Drosophila melanogaster: one gene and its partners. The protein of the gene in region 1 interacts with the protein of each later gene in a biochemical or structural test. Each region holds a gene or a part of one and is shown in the gene's direction. Other genes may lie near its edges.

Region 1 (5,701 bases):
TCCTCACTGGCGCTTCTCTCCATTCAGGGTTGTCTTTATCTCGTTGAGACAATACTCGGCCTGCTCTACGGCATCGGGATTCTGGTGTTGCTTTCCCAGTTTCCACGCCAGTCGGCAAGCGTTCTCCGCCTGCGACATCAGGCCCTCGCGAAGATACACCAAACCCAGATTTGCCTGCAGAATGCCTTCCTGGGTGGCATCCTTTAGCTCCTTAGTCAGCTCCATGGCCTCCAAAAGGGTCTCCCTTGCCTCGGCGTACTTTTCCAGCTGTAATTAGTCTAATGTGTTTCAAGTACTTTGGAAGAATAGACGCACCTACGTTTACGTACGCCACACTGATGTTATTTAGGATGGTTACAGAGGCGTCGTTAACGGCACCATAAACATTTATGAGCGTGTCGAAGGCCTCCTTAAAGAGGTTTTTAGCCTCCAGGTATTTTCCCTGCTTCATCAGCAGCTGCCCGAACCTGGAAAATAAACATAAGGAAAAGTATTGAAAAAAGGCTTGGTTAGCGGCAATGGAAACACCTTCAATACCAATTCTTTGTCAAGCCATACAGCTCCAGTATGTCCTTGTCGTCGGGCATTTTCTCCAGTAGCTTAGCCAACTGCTGCAAGGTCCAAGTGAACCCTTGAAAGCTCTTTTCCAGATCCCCTTGCAGCTGAGACATGTGTGCTATCTTGGAGCTGATGTGAAGTATCTAAAGATGAAAGAGATCTTAACTGGTTATGGTGTCTAAGTGGGTCACCCACCTTGGGACTCTCTTCGGTGTGACCCTCGGCAAAAAGCCGTTTCATAACGTCCGTGAATATCTTCTCCGCCTTCTTAAACTGCTCGCGTTCCATGGCCAAATTGGCCATCAGATCAAACACATATGTGATGCCGTCCTTGCTCTGAATATCCTGCGCCATTCGCAGAGCCAGGTGAAGCATTTGCTCGGCCTTGTCGTACTGTTCCCTCTGAATGCACAGGATTGATCGTTTGATGGTCTTGATCAGTTTTTCCTCCGGAGTTTCCTCTTTTTCGTCGGCGCCACCAAACAGATTCAGAGTGAAAGCAGCGGAAAATGCCCAAAACATTCCACCGGAAGAGCCAGAAGCGGGCGGAGCTGCCCAGGACACCTCGTAGCCCGCAGCATTGGAGCACAGCGGTCGACATCCGAATTCTGACCGTTGGTGATAACGGCTTCTCTTCAGCGGCGCAAGATGACAGTAATCTCTGGGATTCACGACAACGCGGAACCTGCCCATAACTTGCGTAAACTTGCAAATATTTCTCACTAACATGTTTAGGGCTTTATTAATTATTTAACTAAAACCTATAATGTTGCAGGTATGGTATTAAAAATTATGAAATAGCACGTATGTAGTGTTGCAAAGCGCGGTAAAGACGTTTTAAAAGTACATTTCGTAACGCTTGATTAAGAACATAGAAGACTTTTAAATAATTTCTACTCTATCATACTTTCGCAAATATATTTATGTTTCGTTAAGATTTCGTAAACAAAGGTTTTTAAATTTTTTAGAGATGACACTGTCAAACAAAACTTTATCGGCAACTTTGGTACCTAACATTTCGTTCATAAGTTAAATCTGCGAACAAAAATAAATTGATAAGTAGAGTTATTAACAATCTCGAATAAAAAACATTTAAGTACATTTGATAAAGTTTTTCGTAATAAGGTACTTCCTTCCCCCATCGCATACGATACTATCGATAGCCGTCAGCGGGGCGATAGACCGAGAGAAAGCATCCCTGTATATTGATGGCGGATTGACGCTCTTTCGCCTAGTAAAATTATTTTTCTTATCAAGAAAAGGTGCAGAATATAACGAGGAGTGAATTCGCAAAGCAGTGCATGAAATAGCTGTGGGTCCGCCGGCTGTACCTACGTTTTATTTCAGATCTTTCCAGCGTCGCAGCGAGTTTCCAGCGATTTTCGGACAGCCATGAGACGTCGCAGCGAGCGAAAAAAGTCGTCGTCGCCCGCTCCGGTGCCGGTGGCAGTTGCACGGAGAAGTCGCCGCTCCCGCAAGGTGTCGGAGAACGAGAAGACCGAGGTCGAGACTCCGGTCGTGGCCCAAAATAATGAGGCCGAATGCCCCAAAGTACCGCCAGCCTCTCAAGAAATCAATGAGGCGCGGGCATCCAGTGAAGAACGTGCCGGATCTGGAGCATCGCCAGTGCGCAGGAGTCGCGGCAGCCGGACGACGCCTAGAAAGCGCACGGAGTCCAAGGGCGGCGACAAGAAGGTGGACACCATACCCGAGGAGGAGCCGGAGAATGGAAAGGATGTTGAAAAGGACGCTGTCGAGGAGGAAAAGACTGTAGCGCCACCCGCGGCTAATGAGAGCGAGTCCGAGGACCGTGCCAAGACGGAGGATCAGCAGGCTCAAGACGATGAATCCTGTGCTGAACCCGCTGTAGTCAAGGATGATGATGTTGAGAAAGAGGACTTAAAACCGCAGCAGGAGGTCCCCACTTCCACTGATGATGACACCAAGCAGAGCGAGCCAGAACAAGAGGTAAAGGTTCCTTCTCCTTCCAGCAAGGATGAGGAACATCTAAAAACGACTAGTGATGTATTAGACATTCAGACAGAAGAGGTCGATGAAAGGGACGAAGAAGCCTCCGCTCCTGCGGAGCGCAGAGAAACCAAGAAGAGGCACAAGGAGCAGATAAAGGAACAGCAACCCGCAGAGGAGGAGGAACACAAGGAAAACCACAAGCAGATAGACGAAAACCCAGAACAAATTCACGATGAACCAGCAGATCTTTCGAACGACAAGCACGATCCATGTCTAAACAGCAGCGCAACCAACACAACCGGTGCTCCAGTTCTGCAGCAACAACGGTCGGTGCGGAAGCGAAAGTGGCTGACTAACAAAAAGTCTTCGGATCGTACCCCGCCCGTGCTTGCCATTTCGACGGATTCCCTGAAGAACATTATAGCCGATGTGGTGCAGCCAGTGCCCCTAAGCGATGTGCAACTGGAATCGTCCTCAGAGGAGGAAGGCCTGGTCACCAGCGATCGCGATTCAGAGCGATCTGCTTCACCGGCGCCCCCATCTGAAGCAAGCAAAGACCGCGATAACAAGGGCAATACCGCCAACACCTGCGACACCACCGCAGAGGCGTCGGCAGATAATGAAGGAGCAGGAGCCGCTCCTCCAGCAGCAGCAGACACGGTTTCAGCCCAGGTCAGCCTGAGCAAAGCCACAGTTTCCACGGCAGCACCACACATAGTCCGTGACCCTAGTCCTGCTCGAAACCGCGCCAGCCACGTGCTCTATATCACCAATTTGGTACGCCCCTTCACAGTGCTGCAGCTGAAAGGCCTGCTGGCGCGGACGGGAAAGATCGTTGAGGAAGATGGTTTCTGGATAGATCGGATCAAGTCTAAGTGCTATGTTGCCTATTCCACTGAAGAGTAAGTATTGTAGTTGCGCAAATAGAACCTAATCTCCAGGGAGTCAGTGAAATATGCCTATAAAAAACTCACACTTGCAATTATTTTGCTTTTCAACCTTTAAGCGAGGCCATCGAAACCCGACATGCCCTGCACGGAGTTCGCTGGCCAGTGTCAAATCCCAAATGTTTGAATGTAGATTTTGGCAGTCGCACTGATATGGATCGGGCAATACTTTCAACGAAGGACGAGGCTCCGAGGTACGGGCAGGAAAACACCAGAGATAACCAGCAGTCGGGCAACGCTTGGTCCCGGTTGGAACCGTCTGACAAAAAAGTAATGGATTATTATCACAGCATAGAAATGCGGAGCTAACTTGTCTTTTTCCTTCAGCCTGCGCGACCTGTACGCGAATGGGATGTTGGCAAAAAGGAACCAAGCGACCACGACAAACACAGCAACGACAGGCGTCGGGACAGCAAGGATCGACTGGACTCGAGGTCTAGGGATGCGGAGCGAGCCGGACAGGAACGAAAGCGTTCTAGGGACAGAGAGGGGCGAGGACGCGATCGGGAGCGGGAGCGACTTGATCGCAATGCACATGCAAGGAGCCGCAGTGGATCGCCAGGTAAAGCCCGTGGGATACATTTTCCTGTCATGAGAAATTCAAAAACACCCCGTTTAAATAGCGTCCAAAACTAAGAAGGAGAATGAACCGCCTATCAGACTACTAGATGATCTATTTCGAAAAACCAAGGGAACACCTTGCATATACTGGCTGCCACTTACGCCGGAAGCGGTAAGTTGCTGAGATAAATAGTTCCAATCAACGAGAATCACTTCTAGACCAAGTCCGCCTGAACAATAAAATTTCTTCCGGCTTTCAGATCGCAGAAAAGGAGGCATTCCGTCAGAAACGCATTGAGGAGCACAAGCTGCGTATTAAGGAACGGGAGGAGCGCCAGAAAGAGCGGGAGAAGGATCGTGACCGCCAGCGCGAGACGCGTCGCAATCGTTCCAACGAACGGCGACGATCTCGCAGTCGCGAGCGGGAGCGAAGACGTTACTAGGCGGAGGCTTGAGATTGAGCAAATAAATGTTGATATCTCAAAAACTAAATCAACATATAAAAAAAAACTTCAAGAAACAGCAACTAAAACTTCAGCAGGGTCTCATCACCACCCGAATAATTTCAATTCTTTTCTTTCGAGCGTTTTGCGTTCCCAATTAGGCCGACGTTTGTAATATTCAACTTGAACTGAACCGACTTCAAATTGAATACTTTCGCCAACGTCTCATCCACATTCTGATTTTGAGATTTCAAACTCTCTTTTCTTCGTTATTTTTCTCATTGTTGTTGTTCCATATATATATAGCATATATATTTCCATATATATATATATAACCTGATTTGATTTCTTTCCTCAAATGTAGCATTTTACAGCGCCTAACGTCACCTCACCCCAAAACGAAACCACAGCAACCAGAAATGCGCCGGCATCAGATCAGCATCAACGCCATGGAAACTTACCATCGGACTCTTGAAACTACTGCAGCAAGTTACCATGCTTATATCTATTCAATAAACAAACATAAAATAATTGATTAAAATATTGTAAAATCAAATATTTCTTAAAATTTTAATGAACTTAGAAATACAATTTAACATCAGTCGGCAAGCTTGTGACAATGCCAAAACCCAAAAATGTGTTTTAAATGTCTGAGAAATATGCTTATCGCACGACTTATTCGAACAGAAAAAGAAAAGAATGTAATTCCTCAAAATTATAGAAAATGTTTTTGATTCGTAAGAATCATGGTATTTAGAGCATATTATTATAATTTTAATACTCTTTAATTTATATATAAGGTCAGATTTATAAAGTATGAACTTTTTGCCATTTATTTACTTTTCCTTATCAATTTTTAGTAAAAACACTGCTTTTATTAATAATCGCGAGTCTAATTTATTGATTAAACTTAAAAAAGAATAAATGAAGTTGTCCGTTAAAGTACCAGAATACCCCCAACAATAAGTTCGTTTTAATCGATAGTCCATGTTAATAAGCTATCGGAGCCGCTTAATGATTTATGTCAATAGTGCTATCGATGAGTTTTAATTTGTATTAACATTAATTTAGTGAAAAAATGTGGTCCGACACAATATTAATTGTTTTTATATCGGTTTGCACCGCCTTCCTGGGCGAAGGTAAGTAAAACGCCAGTTAATTTAGTTAACCCTACATATTTGTTTGCCTAGGTCTTACATGGGTGATGGTTTACCGGACGGA
Region 2 (4,098 bases), on another chromosome or scaffold:
GGAGTAAAGTTTCTTCTAAGAAGAAGGTTAGTGTTGCTTAAAACAGACATTTAAGTAGAAATATTATATATATTATATAATATTATATATATTATATAATGGAATTCTATAATTTGTACCCCAAAGATATTCTCCGCAATTATATAGTGATATATTCTTAGCATAAGAAGTTCTTTTTCTTTTCATAACATAAATTTCGATGCTTTTAAAATGGAAGCACTAAGATTTTGGAAGCACCCTCTTCGTATAACGACTGTGTCACGGCATAAAACCCCTCTTTGATCAGGGTATTTGTGGTAAATATTATTATAAAGATAAGATAAGTGCATTTCTAAACATAGATTATAAGACTTAATGCAGCGATAACATATACTTATGTATGTATGTATGTATATAAAGAGCGACCTCTTCGGTGCTCTCCTTCAACATTGTAAATAGACTACATTTCCGTAATTTAACTATTATTTTGACCACAAATGTGTGTGCGCGTTCTTCTATGCATACTTGGGCAGGGTCGGTGTTCGAGTTGGGGTCACACTACGCCCTCTCAAAATTAAAACAATAAATTATAAAAAATATACGCATATACACACAAGGAAGCAGGCATCAAAATATTCGCTTTTTCCATGGAGTCCGGACCCCAACACACATACACACTCACACCGATGCACAAAGAAACCGAGAGAGGGAGAGCAGAGAGCGGCACTGAGAGCACGTGAGAGGACCCACCTACTGTGCATACATGTGTCTGTTGGCAGCTCCTATTGTTGTTGCTATTGCGTAGTCATGACAGTCAACTTCATCGAATGCTCTTTTTCGCTTTTCTTAGTTTCGTTTTCTTTACACACATTGATTATATGAATATATGGATATGTATACCAACGAAACTCTTGTTGGCTAGCTGGTTTTTGGCAATTACGCTGCGCTGTGGCGTTTCAAAACACGATGATGGGGCTAAAAAAATGTGCCTTTGAGGTATAGACACTGGTTAATTTGCATTGACTGCTGCCACAACATAACTGCACTTTGCACTCACACACACACTAAGATATGTTTTTCAACGCAAAGCATTCGGGGCGGGGTTTTAATATTGCTATTGAGCTACAGGCAGAGTAATCCGAAATATTAAGAATAATAATACTACACACCAGACGCGGAGCTCCCGACTCGACGGCAGACAAAGACGCAGTGTGGTAAAATGTGCCCAGACCAGACGGGGCGCTCCTCTCTCTCACACTCTCTTTCTCTCTCTCGTTTCCGCTGCGAGTGTAGATATATGGATGGAAAATCGAAACTCTGTGGCTGTGGCCAGCCCCCGCGGCCCCCTTTTGCTATCTCGCTTGCTCGCATGGACAAAATCAACACAAGTTCACACACATACAGGCACACGGATGTGAACTCACAATGACAACCACTTCGTCACCAGCAGATAAAAAAGTGCTGGCCTTAAATCAATTGCGTTTTATGTAATTCCACTACATTCGTACGTTACGAAAACAAGCACTATTCATATTACACGGTATACATTATTACTTCCTATCGAGTCCAAATTGCTAGGCAGGAAAGGTCTTAAATTTTTACGCTTTATGGGAGTTTACCTTGGGTTCGACCTGACAAAGAGTGTGGCCGCGGCGAGACTGTGAGAAATTACCAAGTGGTGTCTGTTATCTTAATCCCAAATACTCTAGAAACATTTGTATACTAGAATTTGAGATTTAAGCATATTATAAAAGAAATTTATTTATATTTAACTAAAAATGCTTCTTAATATTCGCAAAACAGTTTTTTAATAGCAAAGTAAAGGAACTGGATTTTATTTTAATAAGTGTGTATTCTATTTTTTTGTCATATTTACACGTTCACAAACACGGCCACACTAATCTCCACTGAAAACGCTACTCGCATTTAACTCTAGTTGAGAAAAACAAGATTTATTAATAAAAACATTTTAGCTTGCACCTAAAAGAGTGTGCGGTACTATAAAACTAATCGTTTAACAAATCGGCAATACGAAAATGTAAGTATCTGCACCACATTTTGCTCCCTAAATGGTCTAAAACAGCTCGCTTTTCTCGACAAATAAAAAAAAACAGGGCGCGTGCCCAGAGTCTCGCCGGCGAGGGTGAGAAGGAAAAGGACAACAAGGAGAAGGTCGCCAAAGAGAAGGACGGCAAGGCGACCAGCGGCTCCTCGCGCAGGGACCGCGAACGCAAACGCCGCGGATCGGCGTCCTCCAGCAGCGACTCCAGAAGCAGGTAAATCAGCCGGCAAAGGTCTTTCCCACAAATGGCTGCCATCTGCCAACCGGAATAAGGGTTACTTTTAAAAGGAAGTCCTTCTTCTTCTGTAAAACGTAGCAGATAGTACGGGAAGAAAATAGCCTTCGAGCGAAAAGATTTTGTAAAAATTCACATACCATATATGGTAAAATTTCATCACAGTTAGGAAGTGTTTTACTTTGTACCAGCTTCATTGCCGTTTTCTTGGTTACGAGAAGTAAATAAAACACTTCACTTTTTCCAGCACATCGGACAGCAGCTCTTCGCGGAGCAGTTCCGGGTCATCGCGTTCCAGCTCAAGCAGCTCCAGCGACTCCTCGAGCTCCTCATCATCGTCGTCCAGCGATTCGGATCGCAGCGAGAAGAACCGAAGACGTGGCGGCGGCGCTGCTGGCAAAGACAAAGACAAGGATAAGCCCAGCGCCCGATCACGTTCCCGCTCTCGCACCCGTTCCCCCAGGCGTGTCTCCAAATCTCCAAGACCGGGCAGCAAGGCGCGAAAAGAGCCGGAGCGAGATCGCGATCGTCGTAGTCGGTCGAGGGATCGTGCCCGCCGTGCTGGATCCAACGATAGGGCAGCCGCCGATAGCAATAATGTTAAGCGGGAGCGTTCTCGCTCAGCCAGTCGTTCACGATCGCCACGCCGTCGTGGTCGCGGCTCCGTTGAGAGGACGCCGCCACCGAAGCGAAGGGAGCGCTCCCGTTCGCGGACTCGCTCGCCTTCGCCCAAACAGGTGCGCATTCATGTCGGTCGGCTTACCCGCAACGTTACCAAGGACCATGTGTTCGAGATATTTAGCAGCTTTGGGGATGTGAAGAATGTGGAGTTTCCCGTAGATCGTTTTCATCCTAACTTCGGACGCGGCGTGGCGTTTGTGGAATATGCCACACCCGAGGATTGTGAGTCGGCCATGAAGCATATGGATGGCGGGCAGATAGATGGCCAGGAGATTACGGTATCCCCGGTTGTCTTAGTAAAACAGAGGCCGCCCATGCGTCGTCCTTCGCCACCGATGCGCCGTCCGCAAAACAACCGCTGGCGATCCCCACCCCAGTTCAATAGGTTCAACAATCGTGGAGGAGGTGGTGGCGGCGGCGGCGGACGTCGTCAGTCACCCATGAGGAACCGGCGTTCACCACGGCGTCGCTCCCGCTCCCCCATTCGTCGTCGACGCCGCAGCAATAGCAGTGACAGCTCTCGTTAGAGGACACTGATCGACTCCTAGTTTCTACAATTGACACGATTATTGCACTTTTCTTTATATTATAATCCAAATAATAAAGGTGAGCAAATACCACACACATAGAGAGTTAGCTTAGTGTATAAACGAGCACTCAGCATCATCGAGAGGACATCCCAGCGGATGATGAAGCTTGAAAAAGCAGCTACGTTTCTTGATGGTCAAATGGGATTTGGGGAGAGTAGCCGTTGGTTTAGGGGTTCTTATTCCTATGAGATCACCACCGCAGAATTCGAAAACTTCGTGTTTATTGCGCAGCAATGTTTTGATGCCGCCGCACTCGGATTTAATGCCACTCAGCTCCTCCTTGGTGAGAGCCTGGGCAATCTCTCTCATGGGCAGACGACCAGACCATTTATCTTCGTTAGAGTCCAGAATCAGTTTGAAGATCTTAAACACTAGACCATCAATTATGGTCTTATCCACCTGCGTGCAATTTCGAACGCTCTCCTCCTTCTCGCGCAGCTTAATTTTGGCATCTCCGGTCTTATACTTTCTTAGCTCTTCTTGGACAAAGTACTCCAGATCTTCAATAGCCTTTGAGGCTTTTCTCTTAATTCCCAGCAGAGCCAATCGCT
Region 3 (5,674 bases), on another chromosome or scaffold:
GTGTGCGCCCGTCTTGTCAGCGCTTTGACATGAAAATAGTTTGGGCCAACTTGGCTATGCAAAAGCGATTTCTATTAGGAGCCGCCATCGCCGACATGTGCTGCCGAAATTCGGTGATTTGGGTAGGATGAAGAGATTACCAAAAGTTTACAGTGGTTCTTGCTTCCAAGCAAGGAAGGAATTAAAATCCTGTTCAGCAAATATTCCAATAAATCGCTTTTAAGCAAGTGTTATCAGCAGTTCAATGTTGAGTTCAACCGGTTGAAACCCGCTGGTTATCGTAAATCATGGCCACGGTAGTTCCCTCGATTCGCTTCTTATCGCGACGACAGTCCCCACTGACGCACCAAATGGACGTATTTAGACTCCATAGATAACATTTGGCTATTGTTACTATGGTTAATTGAGACATTTACAACTCAAGTATACCTCAAGTCAAGCAGAACATACGTATGCGCGCATATACAGTCGAATGGAATCGACGTCGCTGCCAATCAGGCCGATGTGTTAAGTGAGTTAGGGGCACTTTTGCTTTTGGGACGTGACGTCAGTGCAAACTGCAGCTAGATCCAGTCAAGCCAATTGACGAAAGAGCCGACGGCAGCGGTCTGTACGTATTCAATTCATCAATTGGCAAAACCCTGGCAAAAAGGCAAGAAGATGGAAAACAAAACAAAAGCGAACGCAAACAGAAATAGCATAAAATGGACAACAGACGCGACAACACAGGCACCAATCGTAGGGGCAAAAATTATGAGTTGCTTTTATTTTAAAATCGTTTCATTTATTTTGCGTCAGCAGCGCCTCTCAATGAGGAAACGCTGCGTATACATAATTTTCTGGCCACATATACGCACTCCCATATCTTTCTCCCATCGATTCAGTGGTCGTTCGCAATCAAAGGCACAGACGAGTGATCTTTCCTTGGCCTTTTGCAGTCTCTTAAAGACGGGTTGTTTTCGAGTGTTTTTTGCAGCAGAATGGTAATCAGAATGCTCTCGGCAATTCTTTATTGAACGACCGTTCAATAAATTTCACAAAAGGAAATGTTATCAGCGGGTATTCTTAAAATAACTCAATCTTTAACAACTTATATTTGGAATCAATCACATCAACCCGTAATCAGATAACTGATAACATTTTAGAGGAAATAGTTTGTACCGGCACATTAACAAGTTAATGGTTTTGTTATTCGCCTTATCGTGAAATACTGTAAATAAATTTTTTAATTGCTTTTCGAAAGTAGTTGTTTACAACTTAATTTATCAGAGTGTTTTTGTTCTCCGCTCAGAATTAATCACGAAGTGGGGTGGTAATCCAGATTAACATAAGAAAAAAACAATTTTAAAATATAATATTAAGTCGCCATTATGCATGAGTAACAACTAACAAATTGCTATAAATAATAGGAGATAATCTTGAATACTGCTAGAAAGTGTAATACAATGTAAGGCAATTAAATGTGCAATAAAATCAATGTTATTATCAGCATGATTGTATATGTCGGAGCGCGACTCTTCGCATTCCAGAAATTCCTTCTGTGATTTCATATTCTGATGAAATTGTAATATTGCGGTAAAATTCTGTCGAGCGCTGCGGCAGAGGCACGAACAGCCTCTGCAGCTGAGTGAGGTCCGATCGAGTGGTCATAAATAGTGTGTTAGAGAGAGATGACAATGTGGCACACGCCAGTGTGTATAGCCATTAGAGAATATGATGAAGAAGGGACATGTAAGAAGATCCCTTCAGTGAAGTTTGACTGCTGACGTCGATCGGAACTTGCTGCGCTGACGTACAAAATCGCGAAGTGAATAAATAATATGGATGAGACTCCTGTTTCGCCGACATATACAATAGTGCTCAAGACCCTAATGGAATTATACGTTAATAACCAGCCACATTTCTTAGATATTTCTAATATGAGCCATCTGCTGCAGGTTCTTTCCAATATCTAATTCTAGATCTTCTTCGAATACGACCTTTTTGGCCATGAAACGATGATTTGCCACTTCATTCACAAGCATTAATTTGTCATGATTCTCTTAAGCGTGCACTTTATCTGAAAGTCTGAACAGCTGGCTGCGAAATGGATTCCCCGGATTGGAAATGGCAAGTAAATCTGTCCTCGCTACAAACAAGTGGGCACCACTGGGCATTCGGGGAATAGGGATATGGGTAGGAATGGGGATATATTGTGGCATTGGCGAAAGGTCGCTATGCAAAGCCAAGGTCGAGACTTACACCCAGGACATTGTGTTGTGCGGCTGGCAGTAGAAACGCCCACGCACACGCCCCTGTCAACTGGCCGGGTAAAAAATAGAATCAAATACATATGTATACAGAACAGGAGTTGAAGCAAAGCTCGCATTTTATTTGCATTTGTGAATTTATTGCTTTCGGTTACGTCTGCTTCGCCTTGCCACTTTTCCAAACTCGTTGTGCTGCTGCTTGGGGAATTTTCGGAAATTCGAAGTGATTGGGTTTGGAGCAGTAGCCAAGGGCTTCTACTGTTGCTCAAAGCAATTAATATTTGAGAAAAAATAACGAAAACGAAGTAAGGCGGCAGCAACAAAGCGACCGCAACAGTGGCAACAAATCGCCCCACACCGCACGTCTTCAGTTTACAACCAAGGACTTGGCACGTTTAAAATTCAGCCAGCAGCCGCAGCAACGAACACGGACAGTGGGCGGAATTTAATTTCGAAAAACATATTACTTTATTGTTCACATCTTTACCCACCTTCCGATTCGAGTACATACGATTCCACTGAAGCCACTGAAGACTTACTTCACTTAAAGTACATTTTCTTCAACTTCGTGGGGTCTTTCTAGAACTTAAGACTTATTCTAACTTAAAAAGACTATAAAGTTTTTAAACATTCCGTTGTTTTGTCAAATTTGAATAATTTACGAATGTGAATTTGTCGCAGAAGTATTGCTGAGTATTATCTTTATAAATTTTTCATTTTTTAAAGTGACTAAAGAAACAGCTTTAATGCGTCTTACTTCATATTGGTCATCCCGACCACAGTGCACTGGTTACCAAAGTATGCGATAACAATAACATCGTCCACTATGTGGTCGTTGCTGGGGTTACGGGCAGTCAGTCACGGTCACGGCTGCAACCCCTCCGCTCCGGCCAAAACGAGTCCACAGAACAATGGCCAAGGACGAAGGGGGGGGAGGGGGGATTCAATAACAACAGCAGGAACAACAAACATTCTGCTCCCACGCAAGAGCAGCAGGAACTGTGGCAAAAACAGCTGCTGCAGGATCAACGAGGTGGGAGTGGATTCGAGGACTTTAAAACACGAGCCAACTAAAAATATTCAGACACGCCGAAGCGAAAATACCCTTTAGCAGGGGGTTAATTCAAGTGGGGTATTTTCCCCTTCTAGTGTTTTTCTTTTACCAGGGTAATCACAGATTCTGTTTCTGTGCACTTAAACGGGGTTTATTCCGTTTCTAAAAATATCAAATGTCTGGATTGACTTATTTCTTGGTATTTGACTAAAAATAAAAACAAATATGCAGCTTTTGGGAAACTGATTCCTTGTTGACACAATAGAAACCACCATATGACCACACCTTCCACGCTACTGCAATAACTAGAACATTTAGAACAACAAACAGAATGGCACTATTATCGGCAAATGATGGCGCATGCATAAAAATGAGGAGATCGAAAGTGGGTGGCTGGGGATGGGATAACCTTGTACTTCTTGAGATAAAAACAGTTCAGTATTTAGCAGCGGCTTATTCCTGAATGTTTATAAACAAATCGAGCGAGAGAGCGATGCATAAATGAAATATGAGGGGGGGTGAAGGGTGGTTGCAAAGAGGGTGACTTTTCGCAGACGCTGCGGCACCAACACAAGCAAAGCAACGGCAACAATTTGCACGTAAAACTCAGCTGCTGCTGCTGCTGCTGTTGCCGTTACATAAGAAACTCTTGCAAAAAGTGCAAATCTCAATTCGGTATGCAAATGGACCGCTGCCACAATGTACTCACCGTTTTTAGAAACTATTCAGTGGCCAAATTGCGATTCTGCTTTTATGCGCCAATAACAAACGGCTCTTCTCCACCGTTGTTGTTGCTCTCCTCCTTGTTGTTGTGGTCGCAGCTACTGCTTAGCGAAGCAGTTGTTATTGTTGTTGCGGCAACAGTAATTTGCAAGTGCACCGCTATTGTTGAATGTTTTTAGACGATTGTCATGCCAGTGGAAGCTTCCAGTCTGCGTCATTCGCGGAGACGCGTAGTTTCACGTTCGACGACACAACCGCTCACAGCGAATTTTGTTTTCGGACTAGAGCTGAGAAACGGCGAATTTTGGTGCTTCTGGAAACATCGATTAAACTAAAACCCGATAAGTATGCGACAAGCGGTCACACTCGGCGATGTGCGATAGGATTGCTGCATTCGATTATATAGTTATCGAAAAGAGCAAAGAGAAGCCGGAATATACGGCATTAAAAGTGCATTTTGTATTAAAATTAAGAAAATTAGTAACGATATACCGCAGAATAGGGAGACATGGCCAACGTGGAATCTATGATTGTGGAGGAAAAGACGCAGGTCAAGCAGATTGACCGCGAGAAGGTTTGTTTGTGACCCCGGTCATGTTTACTTCGCGTTTGCTCTAGATGTGTTAATAAGTTTATGTATTTTCCAGACCTGTCCTATGCTGCTCCGTGTCTTCTGCTCTACGGGACGACACCACTCCGTGTCGGAGTATATGTTCGGCAACGTGCCCACCAACGAGCTTCAGATTTACACCTGGCAAGACGCCACCCTGCACGAACTGACCTCTCTGGTGCGAGACGTCAATCCGGACACCCGGAAGAAGGGCACCTACTTTGACTTTGCTGTCGTGTACCCCAACTTCCGGAGTAATCACTTCCAGATGCGCGAAATCGGAGTGACCTGCACGGGTCAAAAAGGAATCGATGATAATAAGACACTTGCTCAGGCCAAATTCAGCATTGGAGACTTTCTGGACATCTCGATTACTCCGCCCAACCGACTGCCGCCAACCGCCAGGCGCCAGCGTCCGTACTGATTCTTCACTTTCATCTATTCTAATCATTTTAATCTTTCACTTGACACTCAATGGAGTATGAACATAATTATAAGTGGAATACAAGTAAGACGAACTACGAGCTGCTTGACTTAAGGGACTATATGTTGTGGGGAGTATCAGTTCCTGTAAAAGCCGTTCGGGCGCTTCGACTTCTTCTTGCCCAACTGCGTCATGTCGATCTCCAGACCATTGGGCAGCACGGCGCGATTCTCTTCGTAGTTGACGAACCCGTTCTCTTGTAGCTCTTCCTCGTTGTTGCGGTTGTTAGGATCGCACTTGATTCCAGTCTCATAGTGGTACTCACGTTTGTTGCCATCTGGATCAACGTAGCCATAGGTTCCCCTGGTGAACGAGAAGTTTGGGTAAGTGGGAGAAAGAGGTTGGATTCAATCTGTTTTACTCACTTGGTGATGCAATCGGTGCCGATCAGCTCCTCCTTGAAAGATCCGTCGTCGTTCTCATAGCCCCATGTGATGCTTCCGTCCTCGTTTTCCTCACGCCACTTGCGAATGGTCTGGGAAACGGGCTGACGGCGACGCTGCTGCTGCTGGTCAACGTGATCGTCCTGTAGCTGATTTTGATCAATGATGGGA

What was found. Proteins that work in one complex are often made in the same cells at the same time.
Region 2: the proteins of Acn (region 1) and RnpS1 are reported together in a solved structure, tested with the Drosophila melanogaster proteins (one study listed by BioGRID).
Region 3: the proteins of Acn (region 1) and Bin1 are reported together in a solved structure, tested with the Drosophila melanogaster proteins (one study listed by BioGRID).

What each region holds. Positions count from the first base shown.
Region 1 is NT_033779.5:19,043,617-19,049,317, forward strand, and holds Acn (acinus), read left to right. Parts: upstream 1-1,738; 5' UTR 1,739-1,950; coding exon 1,951-3,431; intron 3,432-3,535; coding exon 3,536-3,746; intron 3,747-3,803; coding exon 3,804-4,038; intron 4,039-4,099; coding exon 4,100-4,209; intron 4,210-4,297; coding exon 4,298-4,480; 3' UTR 4,481-5,201; downstream 5,202-5,701. Other genes in the region: Ttc19 (tetratricopeptide repeat domain 19), read right to left, coding at 4-267, 320-467, 538-701, 754-1,287; CG10470 (uncharacterized protein), read left to right, coding at 5,559-5,619, 5,671-5,701.
Region 2 is NT_033777.3:9,550,168-9,554,265, forward strand, and holds RnpS1 (RNA-binding protein S1), read left to right. Parts: upstream 1-1,866; 5' UTR 1,867-2,015; coding exon 2,016-2,017; intron 2,018-2,093; coding exon 2,094-2,255; intron 2,256-2,523; coding exon 2,524-3,484; 3' UTR 3,485-3,580; downstream 3,581-4,098. Other genes in the region: CG9386 (uncharacterized protein), read right to left, coding at 3,596-4,098.
Region 3 is NT_033777.3:16,185,638-16,191,311, reverse strand, and holds Bin1 (bicoid interacting protein 1), read left to right. Parts: upstream 1-1,747; 5' UTR 1,748-2,109; exon of another isoform or gene 2,110-4,205; 5' UTR 4,206-4,534; coding exon 4,535-4,600; intron 4,601-4,673; coding exon 4,674-5,060; 3' UTR 5,061-5,156; downstream 5,157-5,674. Other genes in the region: CG8927 (uncharacterized protein), read right to left, coding at 5,198-5,423, 5,486-5,674. UniProt on the Drosophila melanogaster protein: Involved in the tethering of the SIN3 complex to core histone proteins. Interacts with bicoid (bcd) to repress transcription of bicoid target genes in the anterior tip of the embryo; a process known as retraction.